2 linked regions of the Astyanax mexicanus genome follow. The protein of the gene in region 2 interacts with the protein of the main gene of each other region in a pairwise test. Links are inferred from orthologs where the notes say so. Each region holds a gene or a part of one and is shown on either strand. Other genes may lie near its edges. The genes, in order: pfdn1 and immt.

Evidence for each region.
Region 1: the proteins of immt (region 2) and pfdn1 interact in a two-hybrid assay, tested with the Homo sapiens proteins (2 studies listed by BioGRID and IntAct). The link is inferred for Astyanax mexicanus from reciprocal best matches to the Homo sapiens genes IMMT and PFDN1.

Annotation. Positions count from the first base shown.
Region 1 is NC_064424.1:11,021,835-11,030,216, forward strand, and holds the start of pfdn1 (prefoldin subunit 1), read right to left. Parts: upstream 3,131-8,382; 5' UTR 3,057-3,130; coding exon 3,024-3,056; intron 999-3,023; coding exon 832-998; intron 1-831. Other genes in the region: hbegfb (heparin-binding EGF-like growth factor b), read right to left, coding at 7,065-7,137, 7,630-7,785, 8,025-8,187. UniProt on the Homo sapiens protein: Binds specifically to cytosolic chaperonin (c-CPN) and transfers target proteins to it. Binds to nascent polypeptide chain and promotes folding in an environment in which there are many competing pathways for nonnative proteins.
Region 2 is NC_064417.1:17,878,862-17,886,416, reverse strand, and holds the start of immt (MICOS complex subunit MIC60), read right to left. Parts: upstream 3,254-7,555; 5' UTR 3,107-3,253; coding exon 3,065-3,106; intron 1,200-3,064; coding exon 1,126-1,199; intron 950-1,125; coding exon 757-949; intron 617-756; coding exon 451-616; intron 1-450. UniProt on the Homo sapiens protein: Component of the MICOS complex, a large protein complex of the mitochondrial inner membrane that plays crucial roles in the maintenance of crista junctions, inner membrane architecture, and formation of contact sites to the outer membrane.

The sequences.
Region 1 (8,382 bases), on a different chromosome or scaffold from region 2:
TTTAATCAGATTTTTTGCTTAATGTGGCTCAGATCTTATTTTTTTCATGGCTGTGTAAACGTCTCAAATCATATTTGAGACACTTTCATATATGGTCCTAAATCAGATACAAATTCGATCCATGGACATGCAAATATCCATGGAATATGTCAAATCAGAATTCATGCGTCTTTTTGCTTTTACACATTAGCATTAGCACTACATGCTTCTCTCTCGTACCCACACTACATCTCTTGGTGCAGCTGTACAGCTATAGCTGCAAAAACAGCAAAAGCAAACCGCCTGGCCTTTTTTCACCTCCTCGACCTGAGCATGAACTTCAGACCAGCTGTTTGCTGTTTCTCCACTCCAGCAAAAGATGCTCCACATATGAGCTGCTAACGCATCCATTTCCCTTTACACATTTACGAGTCATCTCTTAAATATGACATTTTTTGTTGTTGGTGAAGAAGAAGACGTTTATACTCGTATCAATCTGCGCATGTGAGAGGTTTCAGGGACAGATTCGTTCACATTACACACAGATACAGACCACTTACATTTATAAATGTAAACCATCAAGAAAATCTGATTTGAGGAACGTGGCTTGTAAATTAAACGTAGCCAATATGCTCTAGGTTTCTTCAGAAATCAAGATTACTCATAGGGAGCTATAAAATTGCAATAAAAGCTTCTACAAGCTGTGAAGATGATTTAAGCTGTGAGTGCTGTCATTGAATTAACTAATTAAAAGAGATCTAAGGTCTGGACATTTTGGACAGGTAATATAGGATTTAAAACCGAAAATCACCATATATTACCTAATCTAAAGATAATTTCTGAGATACGTACATGCGCCCGACTCCTTCATACATCCGAGTGCTGTCAGGAAGGGAGGTTATCTCCACATGTGTCAGATTGGAGTGCTTCTTCATGCGACTCAACTGCTCGATCTGCAGGTCGGCGATCTTGACTTTTTGCTGCGTATCAATCATTTTAGCTTGCAGTTCAGCAAAGGCCTAGAGCACAACACACAACACAATATCTATTAATGAAGTATCTATAAACATAAATTCAGAACAACAAAACTCTTTAACATGACAAAAACATACACAGTGTAGTTATATACAGTATGCTTTAAAATATAAATATACAGAACTTTTTACAAGCGTTTTAGGTACCTTACCACATCATTTTAAAGCATTTATCTCTGCAATAAGTGTATTTTTGCTTGTAAACACAGTATAAATTTGCTTGCTTTTTATTGTTATTTTTAATACTACTGAATGGCAATTTACATAAAGGCAAAACAAATATTTTAACACTACTGTGATAAACCATGTAATTTTTTTTTTCAAGAGGATATTTTACACATCTTTACAGAACTTTTTCTTTTTTCCATGTGTAACAACTAATCAAAGCAAACAAAAGCATAAAAATTAAATACTAAGTATTTATAAAAATATTTTATTATATGGTCCACACCAGATCCGGGCATTGTGTGCTCCACATGCTACATTCAGCTCTTTAGTTTTTGATAACCACCTCTTTGCATATCCACTTAAGCAATTGAGCAAGACTTTATTAGCCCAAATAGTCTATATTTCTCTTACTAAACCCAGTATTTAGACAACAAACCAAATAGCCACTCAGATAGCAAAAGGATGTTGAACATTAACATTCATTTTTCCATTGCTAATGTACTGAAACAATACTGGTCACCCACGTCAGAAGTGATTTATTTATACACATCAATTTCATGTTGATTCAAAAGTAGGTTTTATGTGTACAGTTTGCATTAAACTTTAATGACATTAAAATAAGTAATCTTGTTTGTAGTGTATTTTATAGCCTGCACTGTATAATAGTAATTTGTATATTAATATTAGGTATTTTTGGGAAGCACCTTTTATCTATAAGCGTTGTTAGTGTAGATTCAGAGCTCCAACTAGGGGTGTGACGTATCATATCGTACGCAATAATATGGCCAACATTTTTTAATATCGTATATTATATCGTATATTATACCCCGAAATATTGTGTCATATCACCCACCCCTAATTATCACATCAGAGTACTATTTTTTTTTTTTGCTGTTGTTAGCTAAAGAAAAATTTACACTGGTCTTATTTCCCATTATATATCTACTAGAGGCAGATTATATCTGTCCAGTAATATTTATTTTACTTCAGTCCTGGATATATGGAGCTATATGGAGTGTATTATTAGTATCATGACATTCTGTATTTTTTACTTTTGTTACAAATCTGATACAATTATTTTATTTTTTAATATATCAGTTAGGGGTGTGCCATATCATATTTTGTTGCAGTAGTCTATTCTTATTTTTTTTTATTCAGTGCCATATCGCCAAGAATATTGTATACTCTGAAATATCATAATATTATTTTTGGGTCATATCACCCACTCCTAGACCAAACTATTCAAAATGAAATGAATGCAACTTTATTGCAAAATATTTTCTCTTTTGGTTCTTACTGTTTATTTCTTTGCTTTTGGTTTTTTTAACTGGCACTATATTCATTGCAAAAAAAGTTTGAGGTGCTACAGCTCAGGGATGTTTTAATGTTTTTTTTTTCTTCATGTAAAGCTTTTTTGAGTTGCCATTGTGTGTGAAATGCGCTGTATAAATAAACCTGCCTTGCCTCAGCATTATTGGAAGGATTTATTTTAGCTACAGTGGCTAGCTAAAACCTAGCCAAGGTCATATCCTACATCCAAATAATCCTAAACTGGAATCTGTGTCTGGATAACAGCCTCTATAAACTGTTAGGTAGTAGTGAGGCTAATACCAATAATACATCGTTAAATAACCAAGTAAATAGCTATAATAAACCCGGAGCTGTGTATTGTGTAGCATTAGCTACTGTTAGCCACTCCGCTTTATTCAGTTTATATCTGTGCTGTTTAATCAGAGACCCTGATCAGAACCCGCTTTAGCTGTTTCACACCCCGATCACACAGAATAATCCCAGCTCAGAAACCCACAGCTACCGTAACAGCGATCATCAGCCACGCTTTACCTTCTTCAGCTCTAGGTCTACGGGGGCTGCCATGTTGCAGAAGGCAGGGCGAGTGTCTGCGCATGCGTACTGAAGACAGTCCACTCCGGGTTGCCAAGGTGAAGCAGAAGGCTGCTTTGGCTTTTTTGTGAGAAGAGTTAAGATATCATTACAATACCATTGAAAAGTTACTTTATTTCAGTAATTCAGTTTAAAATGTGAAACTCATATTTTATATAGATGTATTACACATAGAGTGGTCTATTTTAAGTTTTTATTTATTTTATTGTTGATGATTATGGCTCACAGCCAATAAAAACCCAAAAATCAAAGTCTCAGAAAATTAGAATATTATGTAAGGCCAAGGGCGTAGGAGCGGGCTTGATATTGGGGGGGGGACACATTTGCCAATATGAACCTAAGCCCACTCTATAGTTTCCTAGAACAACATTTGTGGAATTTACTTTTAATTAAAAGTAAATTATTATTATAAGGTGATTTTACAATCTAAACATGTTACTCCATGTTACAGTTACTGTGGTTAGAAAAAAATATGCATGCAATGTCTGAATTATATACATATGACAATAATGATCAGTTATCACCTAATATTTAAAATAATACAGATTTGGTTATTATTATTATTATTATGTATTGGCATGTCAATTCTGTCGTATATTTACATTTTCTCCTGCGCATAACAGAAGTCATGTTACAGCTGTGTTTCTCAACCCTGTTCTTACATATTCTACTGCATATTAACACTGTTCTGTGTTGTGTATTCTGCATATTCTACAGCTTACTCTGCTTTAAAGGCATTTCATAGAGTAAGTGGTGGAATGATGTGTCTAATAAACTGCTGGATATACATGATTAATTTAGGATCCATAGAGGGCTAAAGGGTTTTAACAGGTAAACTCAGTAAATTACTGTTTATTAGCTGATCAGCTGGATCAGGTGGAAAACACTATTTTGGGGGCAGTGACCAGGGTTAAGAAACTGCTTTAAACTACAAACGTAAAGTACTGTACTAAATTCTGGCTATCCACTACATGCAGCTTCTAGATAACTAGTTAGCTAAATTAATTTTCGTTCATTATAGCTCACAGTAAGTCCTGCAATCCTAAATTAATAAACAAAGTTTGAAAATGAAATAGTGAATAGCTGATCAGGTACAGGGCAAGTTGAACATTATATATATAGTTTTTTTTCTTTAACCCTGACTCCCAATCTAGCTCATTCCAAAGTTAAGCTAACTCACTAACACAGCTGCAGTTCATTAATCACAGTGGGTTTAAACTGTGTGCTGATTCAGAGACGTGTATTTTTAACCAGCTATCAGAAACATATCATCACAGTTGAAGTGGTTAGCCTATCGTTACCTTTCTTTTAGTAAAATCTCCGTATATCCATCTCTGTTTTAAAATCAGCTGAAGCTGCTGCGTCCCGATCCCGCTGCTAAATCTCACAGCGAGGGGGCGGGGCTTCCCCAACAGCAAACTGCCTCTCCTCCGCGCGCCGCAAAACCAGCAAGATTGGCTGTTTCTGCCAATCTACTGAGAGGCGGGACTTAATACCTGAACAGGCTCCGTGATTGGTCCGGTCTGTCTCCTCATTAATAGTACAGCTGATCTGAGTGAAACGATATAATTTTTGGGGGGGACAAATCGACCTGTTTCTAATATTGGGTGGGACATGTCCCACCCATCCCCCCCGGTTCCTACGCCAATGTGTAAGGCAAATTGGTACTTTTGGCAGTGTGGGCAGTGTGCCAAGTCCTGCTGAAAAATGAAATCCGCATCTCTATAAAAGTTGTCAGCAGAGGGAAGCATGAAGTGCTGTAAGATTTTCTGGAAAACACTGCACTGACTTTAGACTTGATATAAACACAGTGGATCAACACCAGCAGATGACATGACTCTCCAAACCATCACTGGTCATCAGTAAACTTTACATTTAATTTTTTAATCAAGGGAGCAGAGTCTGAAGGAAGAGTGGAGAGCTTCCACAATCAGAAATGACTGTTTTATTGTGTTTTTTATTTGCCAATTTGAGGGTTTAGGGAGGCACAGCCTTTTGGTGTATCTTAATGAGCGTATCTGGCAACCCGAGTCTTCTTCACTCAACATCACACACGCGGTTGGGAGTCAGACATTGCAGACAGAGACTAATGTTCTTTGATGAAATTGTGTAATAGACGTTGTTGTGGTTGTCTGTATGTGTCGTAATTGTACATATATACTGTACCAGAGGACACACCTTAAATTGAGTTTAAATTGTTCTGAATTGTAGATTAAAGTAATCCAAACTATGATTTGTTTATTAAACAAAACATGTTAAACAAACCAGAATATGTTTTGTATTTTAGTTTCTTTTAGAAGACACCTCTTGTTTAGATGAAAGCTTTGCACATATTGGCTGGATTTCCTCAGTCAGCTTTATAAAGTAGAGTCACCTTGAATGGATTTCAGTTAACAGCTGTGCTGAACTTGTCCAGAGTAAATTAATGTGTTTGAGAGCATCAGTTGTAAAGTTCTGAAATGCTTTACATTTTTAACATGTTTAATTTTACTACATGATTCCTTATGTGTTTCTTCATAATCTGGATTTCTTCAGTATTCATTTACAATAAAGGGAAAATAAATAAAAAACATTGAATGGTAAAGTGTGTCCACACTTCTGACTGGTACTGTGTGTAGTTTTTGCTGTCTGAGCCGCATTTGCCATTACAAGCAACTTAGCATTGTATTGGACAGATGTCCAATGCCAGTATCAGTATTCATGCATCTCTAATCTAGACGAGTTCAGGTCCTGATAACTGCTGTATGAGAACCAGAACCAACACATCTAACCGCTACTGACTAATTAATGCAGCATCTAGTGACAAGCTCTTAGTCAGTGACTGTGTATAAGCTACAAAAATGTTCACACATATTTGTGGTATGTTGTAGTCAGTATAAAACACATTTTCAACTTTAATATCTTTCATTTTACCTGATTTATTTATTTGTTTATTAATAATTTAGGAAACATAAAAAAAAATAATACTGCAGAACAAAACAACTTATGTACAAAGTCTAAAAAGAACACACATTTTATTTTTTCACAGTATTCACAAGATAAATTAGACAAATGTAAAAAAAATTACAAATAAATACAGTAAAACAAATACAGTAGTGTAAGTATTTGGACAGTGAAAGTTCTTTTGTTTACTTCTGTTGTGTGCTGGAATTACAAATACAATAAATATTTCTTAACATTTCAGAATGAGCAGTAGCAGTTATGCTTTGTGACTCTGAAAACTCTTAAATGTTGAATCACAAAGCCAAAAGAACAGAAAAAGAATTAGATCACTGTCCATTTACAAACTACTACATAGACCGGCAGTGCACTTAGTACTTACACACAATGATTATTTAACTAAATAAATAGATAAATAAAAAACGTTTTAAGTTATAAAAATAAATAGAAGGGAAACAATACATACAACACAAACACAAAGCTACATTCATTGACTTTCTTCATTTGTATTACACACAGGTTGATTTATCAGGAGTGAGGCATCTCACCATACCTCTCTGGGGAGGAGTGTGCTCCAAGAATTGAGAATTTGGGAGCAACTAGGGCTGTGACTGTTACCGCATTACGGTCATACTACAGTCATTTGATGATTACTGCTGTATTTAGCGAATTACCATTATCACCGCAGTTATTATTTATTTATAAAATAATTACAGTTCCAGCTTTAATATCTGATGGACTGAGCCACATTAATTAACAGTGGAAGAAACAGAAACAAACCAACTGTTCTCCGCATGTCCAAAAGTGCTCTGTTACCACTGACCAGTTCTCTCCATCTGTCTTGCCATCAGTATGATCACCTGCAGGAAAAAAAACAATTGTAACTGATTGTTAATAATTAATACAGAACATAATAATAATAATAATAATGATACATTTGTAGTGGTTATTTTTTTGGCCTTTATTCAACACAGAATGCACACAAAAAAAGTTATATTTTTCATCATTATATATTACAATGCTCACCCTTCTTCATCAGCACTATTGTACACTCGCTGCCTCAAGTTTGATCTTCTCCTCACTTTCTGTCTCTATTTCACCTTTTTTATGACACCTGCGAAAAATACATGCAGTATTGTTAGTATGTTTTGCAAAACAAAAACAGTGTATGCAAATGCAAATGTGTCCAAGGTAGGGGTGGGCGATATGGCCCTAAAATAATATCACAATATTGCAGGGTATTTATAGTGAGGTATTTTTAAATTAGTTTTAATGAGAATAAATGTAGACGTTTCTTACATTCAGTTGAAAAAAATCTATAAATGTTTGTCCATTTCATAAACCATAACATACAAAAACCCTGAATTTGTATATAATTATAATTGTGTAACAACCAAAACTTAAACTAAAACTCAGCATATTTAGTACACACACACAAAGTGCAACATACACAAAATACAGTAAATACAATAAATAGCAAAACAAATACAAACTATACTGCTCGCAAGAATATCGCAATTATCACAATATTAAGATTTTCTTTATTGTGTCAAAAATGTTCGATATGGCACACCCCTAGCCCAAGGTATGTATAACATCTACTAACCTGAAAGCCAGCAAAATGCCAATGAATGTGAGGCACATCAAAGACAGGACCACTGCTATTGCAGCCAAAGCTGCAGTCTGATTGTAGCCTTTCACTTCTGCACCAACAGGCAGAGTGAATATGTGACACCTCTCGCCCGAGTAGTCTGTCTCACATCTGCAAGAAGAACACATTCAAAGTTTAAATACATACAAGCAAAAAACACAGGGACTAAATGCTCTGTGAGATCTACAGCATGCAAATGGGAATTACTGTGCAGTTACACAGAAAGCCATGCAAATTGCATTACAGTCCAAAGGTAAGACCTTATTGGTTTAACCATTACATGTGCAAGTTTTCTACCAAAGATTATTAAAAGGGCAGACATCAGGTGTATATAACTAGGAGGAACTTACATGCATGCTGTGTGATTTAGTGTCTCCAAGTACTGACAGACTCCATGAACGCAATAATCTCTGTACTTTTTCCTCAAACAGGGGTTCTTCTTCTTCTTGCCTCTTCTTCTGTTCGGTGGGATGGGAATCGCAGAGGAGTCCTTAGGCTTGGTGGAAAATGCAACTGTGGAGAAAAAGTAGGTCAAGGTAAGTCAAAGGCCCTTACATTACGAAATACTACATTTACTTAACTTAACTAACTACTAGCAAGTGTAATACATTACAGAATACACCTCTGTAAAAAATTAAGAGACCACTTCAGTTTCTGAATCAGTTTTTCTGATTTTGCTATTTATAGGTATATGTTTGAATAAAATGA
Region 2 (7,555 bases):
ATTTTATGTTGTCTCTGTTGTATACAGAGGCCGGTACACTACCGAAGACTTCCAGAATCATAAAACAGAACAAATAATCAAAACTCTCAACAATGACATTTGCATTGTAATCTTGCAGTCTTCATAGTATGCATCAAGCGCAGGTAAGGGCAATGCTGGACTGAGGGCCAGACTTAACTCTGTTGAATGTGTTAACTGTAAGGTTTAGTAAGTCTGTTACAACAGAGAAATCAGCACCCTGATCTAATGTAAAAGCCTTCCCAGAAGAGTAAAAGCTGTTAACAAAAACCCTAATAATATGCTTAGTTTTACAAGACATCACAAGGGCCTGCAGGATACACAACCCCCGTAAGACCGATAAAGGTCTATTGGATAAACCCACCTATTCAAGGAAAAAAACATGTTGCATGTTTCTAGTCCATTAGATCATCCAGAATTATGTAAACTCACCCTCAATGGTCTGTGGAGGCAGAGCTGGGGCTTCCTCTACTGCAGGTTTGGGATCCACAGGTGCTGGCTCTGGCTGCTTCTCTTTAGCTTTGCTTTTTGCTTTGGGTTGCTTTGAGTCCTTTGAGGCTTCAGACACTGAAGAGATCTGCAGTGGTTCAGCCTTCACCTAAAATACATAGAGAACGGCATTTAAAAACAATAAACAAAATATACCTAGATAGACTCTATCTAAAGCCTGACAGACAGTCTGTAAACATACAAAGCACAGTGGATGAGACATCTGAATTAAACAGGTTTTCCTCTTACCGGTTTCTTTTGCATTGGGATAAACGGTGGTGGAGGGGGACCAAGCGCCATCTCAAAAAGCTGGTCAGAATATGGAACGCTCTTCTCAACATTTGCTCTGAATTTAGGGTCCCATTTAGCGTACAGGATTGTACCACCTAGACCTCCACCGACTGTTAGGATACTAGCAGCCACAATCTTTCCTGCAGCTGACCTGCCATAGACCGACCCAAGAGAAAATGCATCACATTTAAAATGAAATTATATTTAGAGAGTCATAATATAACAATGGCAGGTTAGTGTGCTAGAGATAATCTGTATGGTAAATCTGTATCCAAACACTTTATTTGTAGCTAAGCATTTTTTTTTATTTAATCAGTCAATTCATACCCTGAGTTTCCAGCTGAGGTGTAGCGGCGGCAGTGCTGCAGAGGGTGGACTGGTACCTTACCACAGAGGCAATTCTGAGAAGACAAAAAAAAAAAAAAAAAACATTATCCACAAATTGACAGCAACTCCAATCAGAGCCCATAAACAAGAACAGATGTGTAATCACCAATGATAATCAACTGGGTGATGGTGGGAGCAACTGATCATGTAAGAATACAATACTAACACCAAACTATCCACATGGGATAACACAGTGACCACTGTGCAACACCCTCACAACCATGTGATACACCATAGCAACTGCCTAGTAACTAAAGAGCAACCACTATGAACACTATATCACTCATTTAGCAACCCATTTCGCAACATTCTAGAAACTACCAGGGATACCACAGCAACCACCTAGCAACACCACAGCAAACATCTAGCAAAAACATCCTCATCACCTAGTGGCCACATGAAAACAACTGCCTGGAAGTGTGCAACCATTCTGTCTGGTGCAGTAACATACAACAGATAAAAACAAATACACTGCTCTCTTCAAATCTCAATCACCACCTCAATAATCATATAAGAAGCTTAAAATCACTACTACCTTACAGAATAAGTAACTTTTTGTGTAGTTAAATAATCCCTAAACAAAATCCATGGAATATAATTCAACAATTTAGATTAATTATTAAAACCATGTACACTATCGCACTATTTATAATTTAAACAGTTAGAGTGTTGTCTGTGTTTCTGTGTCTTTTTCTAGTGATTATGATGAAAGTCTGAATGTGCTGCGTGTTGTAGGTCTAAAGGTGCTAAACAATAGTTTCTGCTTTTACTTTATGCTCTGAAGCTCCAGCTCATCCCAAATCACCATCTTAGATGGGTTTAGGTCAGTATTGCAGAGGACAAACACTGTTTAGTTCACTATGCAATTCCACATGTATTCATTGATTGTTTTCATGTTTTTATTTTGAATCTACAATGTAGAAATTAAATAAAGCAAACAATGAATGAGAATGTATGTCTAAATTTTGACTGGTACTGTATGTCATACAGTAATTTGCTTCTACTGATGAATTTAATCTGGATGCAAACCCTGTAATTTCTATCATGTACTGTGAAAGTGTCTTTAAATACTGTGAGAGAATATTTTTGAGCTCCCTTATCAGCCAGTCTTACTTACACCCTTTGTGTAAATATAACATGCACAAGATAAAACATGTGATTATGTGTAAAAAAAATGTGATGAACATCTGAGAAATCAGCCATATGCCAGGGGTTTCCCTTCAACTCCAATGAACTTGGCAAGGTCACGCCCTCAAATTGGATAAAAACAATTCGCCTCAATGCGAAATAAACTCAGTCGCGGGTTCGCGCGCTCCTTGTGCACTCGATATCACAGGTCTGATATCTGATTAAAGCGAAATAAACTAAATTTCAGCAGCAAACTATAAACTCTGCACCAACGTCTCCTCGGTTCCTAATGCACATGAATGGATGACGGAAAACTTGAATCACACTTGGTACGCCCACATCCACGTCACTGAAGAAGAAACGCGCCCTATTGGTTGAGGCACTCGTTTCTACTGCCGATCTCACATTTCATTTGCTACATCAGCCGTCAATCCAACACGGACGACCGCCCCTCCACGCTTTGACTTACGCCGTTTACGTAGAACTCAAAGTGTCCCAGCTAGCAGCTACACAGTTAGCCACTTCAAATGACACGCAATTTATCACCATAAATCCAGAGTTTTAGCGCTGCTGCACCTTAAATAACACACTACAGGGAGCACCGAGTAACTGTATAAACAGAGGCGTCTGATAACACGTTATTAGAGCCGATAGACCCGGCCGGCCTGCGGTGTGGGTCACTAAATGACCGCTCTGGGGAGTTTAGCTCTCCGGCTAATCATAGACTCGGCGGTCCTTCAGCAAAGCTTACCCGCGCCGCTGCATTTGCACCTTTCCAGCACACGCGCAGCATTGTGGCCTTTCCTCCTTTCGCGTCTCGGTCTAAAGCGACAGTCTTAACAATCAGACGGCTCAGCAAAACATTATAAAAGTGGTGAACCCTCGGTAGCACTGCGCACTCACTCCCAGCGCCGTTCGCCGAGTGACGGAGAGGCCGCGCATGCGCACTTGGCACGACCAGCTGCTGGGGTGGGGTGGGGTGGGGTGGGGTAGTCAAGGGTTCATGTCACTTTAGAGAATTTTTAAAATAATATCCTTCTGTATTATTAAACACATTGAAGAAGAAATCCGGAGTGAAATAGACTTGGGGTGTAGTGAAACATTACGAGAACAAAACTGTTCTCGATTAGCCCACCTCCATTTACCCCCAGCATTCAGAAATACAGATTTAATAGCCCATAGGGGCATAGAGTTCATTAAAAAAGACTGTTCATACACAACAGCAACAGCGGGAATTCAACTCTCAACTCACCCCCAAATTTGACATAGTACAGTAACGGCTCAATCAAATGTAAACATGGGGTGAATATTGGTATTTAAATTGTGTGAAACTGACACAAATCCATAATTCCTGCTATTTACTTACTTTTTTTTCTCAGTAGCATAGTCGCTGTGAATTGGAGAATAGTTTTGCGATATACTGATTATCACTGAATCGCAGTTTTGAGATATAATAATAATAATGATAATACTTTATTTTTATATTGCGCTTTTCTAAAACCCAAAGACGCTTACAATTATTGGTACAAAGATACAGATATACAATACACAGACAATACAGGTACAACATTTACAGTGGAGCTCCAACTCAGCAGTACTATAGTATGTGAGATCAAACATAATGTTAAGCAGAAGAGAGACCATAAGCAAGAGAGAATAGATGAGTTTTAAGATTCGATTTAAATATGGGAAGAGTGGGAGATAGCTTAACTGCAGTTGGAAGAGAATTCCATAGTCGGGGAGACTCCGGTAAAGTTGGTTTCATATTCGCATATTCGGATTTCTTTCTTCAATAGCTTTTGAACTGTGTGTGCAAAATGGTTAATACTTGCTTATTTTATATGCTGACATCCAAAGCAAGCAGCTACAACGTCTTTCCCCTCTCAAACATCTGCCTTTAGAAAACCACAGAACACATTGTCGTCTATGGGCTGCCGCGACCTGCACGAGAGCTAAGGGACCGTCTACAAACTACTCGACACAGCAAAAAGGCGAATGAAGATGGGCGGGGCAAATGCTTTATGCTTCATTATATGAAAGTGTAGTGTACTTTAGTGTTTTTAGCTGGTCACAAATGACAAGACTTCAGGAGTTCCTGACAATATTTTTTTATAATAATTGTTTTGTTAAAAACAATCTAAAAATATAAAGGTTACACTCATTTTTTGTTCAATTTGTAACTGTTTTTAAAAAACCTTTTTAAAAAATATTTCATAAAGTATTTCATTCTGATTTTGTGACAAAGTTTCAACTGAGTATATATTTTATCAAATAATCACTTGTAGCCCATTTTGCAAGTCTTACTGTCATTTGACCTGCAGTTCAACAGAGGGCTTTCAGGGTTTCTTTTTCTGTTTTACTGTTGATAGTAATACTGTCATTGGTGGGTAGTAACCATTGGTTTGTTTAATTTTAGTTGAGTATACAGAACCGTAATTAAACCATGTAAGAATTGTCAAATGATAGTATTAAAAGGTTTACATTCTATTGTGACTACTTCTGAAATAAATATTATGAAATATAACTAATACCTCTTCACTTGCACAATTGTTTCAGCAGGTGGCACCAAAGTTGGACAATTATAAATGTTACTGTCTAAATATTTGAGTTGTATTTTTAACTAATTTTTGTTTAATGTTATTTTTTTTCTTCTAATAATTTTTTTATTTATCTGTTTCTTGCTGAATCTTTGTTGTAACAATATCAATTACTTCCAATACCTTGTTTACTTTGAAAAGCTCTTAGTGTTTTGCAAATGAGCCTTTATGTAAACCAAAGCAAAAATTTCTTGATGAAATCTAACGGTTGCTGAAAATACTGACTAGGTGTGGACTGCACACATCAAGTTATATCAAGTCTAACCAACATGACATACTACAACTATGATATTGGTCAAATTAACCCTTGCTGATTTGTAGCAACAGTTTTTTGTGAATTAATTTCAATAGCTTTTGAACTGTTGAGGGTATCACAACAGAACAAGTTGTATTAGATCAAGTCCCACCCATATGACATACTACAACTCTGATATTGGTCAATTTAACCCTTGCTGATTTGTAGCAACAGTTTTTTGTGAATTAATTTCAATAGCTTTTGAACCGTTGAGGGTATCACAACAGAACAAGTTGTATTAGATCAAGTCCCACCCATATGACATACTACAACTCTGATATTGGTCAATTTAACCCTTGCTGATTTGTAGCAACAGTTTTTTGTGAATTAATTTCAATAGCTTTTGAACCGTTGAGGGTATCACAACAGAACAAGTTGTATTAGATCAAGTCCCACCCACATGACATACTACAACTCTGATATTGGTCAAATTAACCCTTGCTGATTTGTTGCAACAGGTTTTTTGTGAATTAATTTCAATAGCTTTTGAACCGTTGAGGGTATCACAACAGAACAAGTTGTATTAGATCAAGTCCCACCCACATGACATACTACAACTCTGATATTGGTCAAATTAACCCTTGCTGATTTGTAGCAACAGGTTTTTTGTGAATTAATTTCAATAGCTTTTGAACCGTTGAGGGTATCACAACAGAACAAGTTGTATTAGATCAAGTCCCACCCACATGACATACTACAACTCTGATATTGGTCAATTTAACCCTTGCTGATTTGTAGCAACAGGTTTTTTGTGAATTAATTTCAATAGCTTTTGAACCGTTGAGGGTATCACAACAGAACAAGTTGTATTAGATCAAGTCCCACCCACATGACATACTACAACTCTGATATTGGTCAAATTAACCCTTGCTGATTTGTAGCAACAGGTTTTTTGTGAATTAATTTCAATAGCTTTTGAACCGTTGAGGGTATCACAACAGAACAAGTTGTATTAGATCAAGTCCCACCCACATGACATACTACAACTCTGATATTGGTCAAATTAACCCTTGCTGATTTGTAGCAACAGGTTTTTTGTGAATTAATTTCAATAGCTTTTGAACCGTTGAGGGTATCACAACAGAACAAGTTGTATTAGATCAAGTCCCACCCATATGACATACTACAACTCTGATATTGGTCAATTTAACCCTTGCTGATTTGTAGCAACAGTTTTTTGTGAATTAATTTCAATAGCTTTTGAACCGTTGAGGGTATCACAACAGAACAAGGATTAATTTGACCAATATCAGAGTTGTAGTATGTCATGTGGGTGGGACTTGATCTAATACAACTTGTTCTGTATCAATAACCTTAACGGTTCAAAAGCTATTAAAATTAATTAACAAAAAACTGTTGCTACAAATCAGCAAGGGTTAAATTGACCAATATCAGAGTTGTAGTATGTCACGTGGGTGGGACTTGATCTAATACAACTTGTTCTGTTGTGATACCCTCAACGGTTCAAAAGCTATTGAAATTAATTCACAAAAAACTGTTGCTACAAATCAGCAATGGTTAAATTGACCAATATCATAGTTGTAGTATGTCATGTTGGTTAGACTTGATATAACTTGATGTGTGCAGTCCACACCTAGTCAGTATTTTCAGCAACCGTTAGATTTCATCAAGAAATTTTTGCTTTGGTTTACATAAAGGCTCATTTGCAAAACACTAAGAGCTTTTCAAAGTAAACAAGGTATTGGAAGTAATTGATATTGTTACAACAAAGATTCAGCAAGAAACAGATAAATAAAAAAATTATTAGAAGAAAAAAAATAACATTAAACAAAAATTAGTTAAAAATACAACTCAAATATTTAGACAGTAACATTTATAATTGTCCAACTTTGGTGCCACCTGCTGAAACAATTGTGCAAGTGAAGAGGTATTAGTTATATTTCATAATATTTATTTCAGAAGTAGTCACAATAGAATGTAAACCTTTTAATACTATCATTTGACAATTCTTACATGGTTTAATTACGGTTCTGTATACTCAACTAAAATTAAACAAACCAATGGTTACTACCCACCAATGACAGTATTACTATCAACAGTAAAACAGAAAAGAAACCCTGAAAGCCCTCTGTTGAACTGCAGGTCAAATGACAGTAAGACTTGCAAAATGGGCTACAAGTGATTATTTGATAAAATATATACTCAGTTGAAACTTTGTCACAAAATCAGAATGAAATACTTTATGAAATATTTTTTAAAAAGGTTTTTTAAAAACAGTTACAAATTGAACAAAAAATGAGTGTAACCTTTATATTTTTAGATTGTTTTTAACAAAACAATTATTATAAAAAAATATTGTCAGGAACTCCTGAAGTCTTGTCATTTGTGA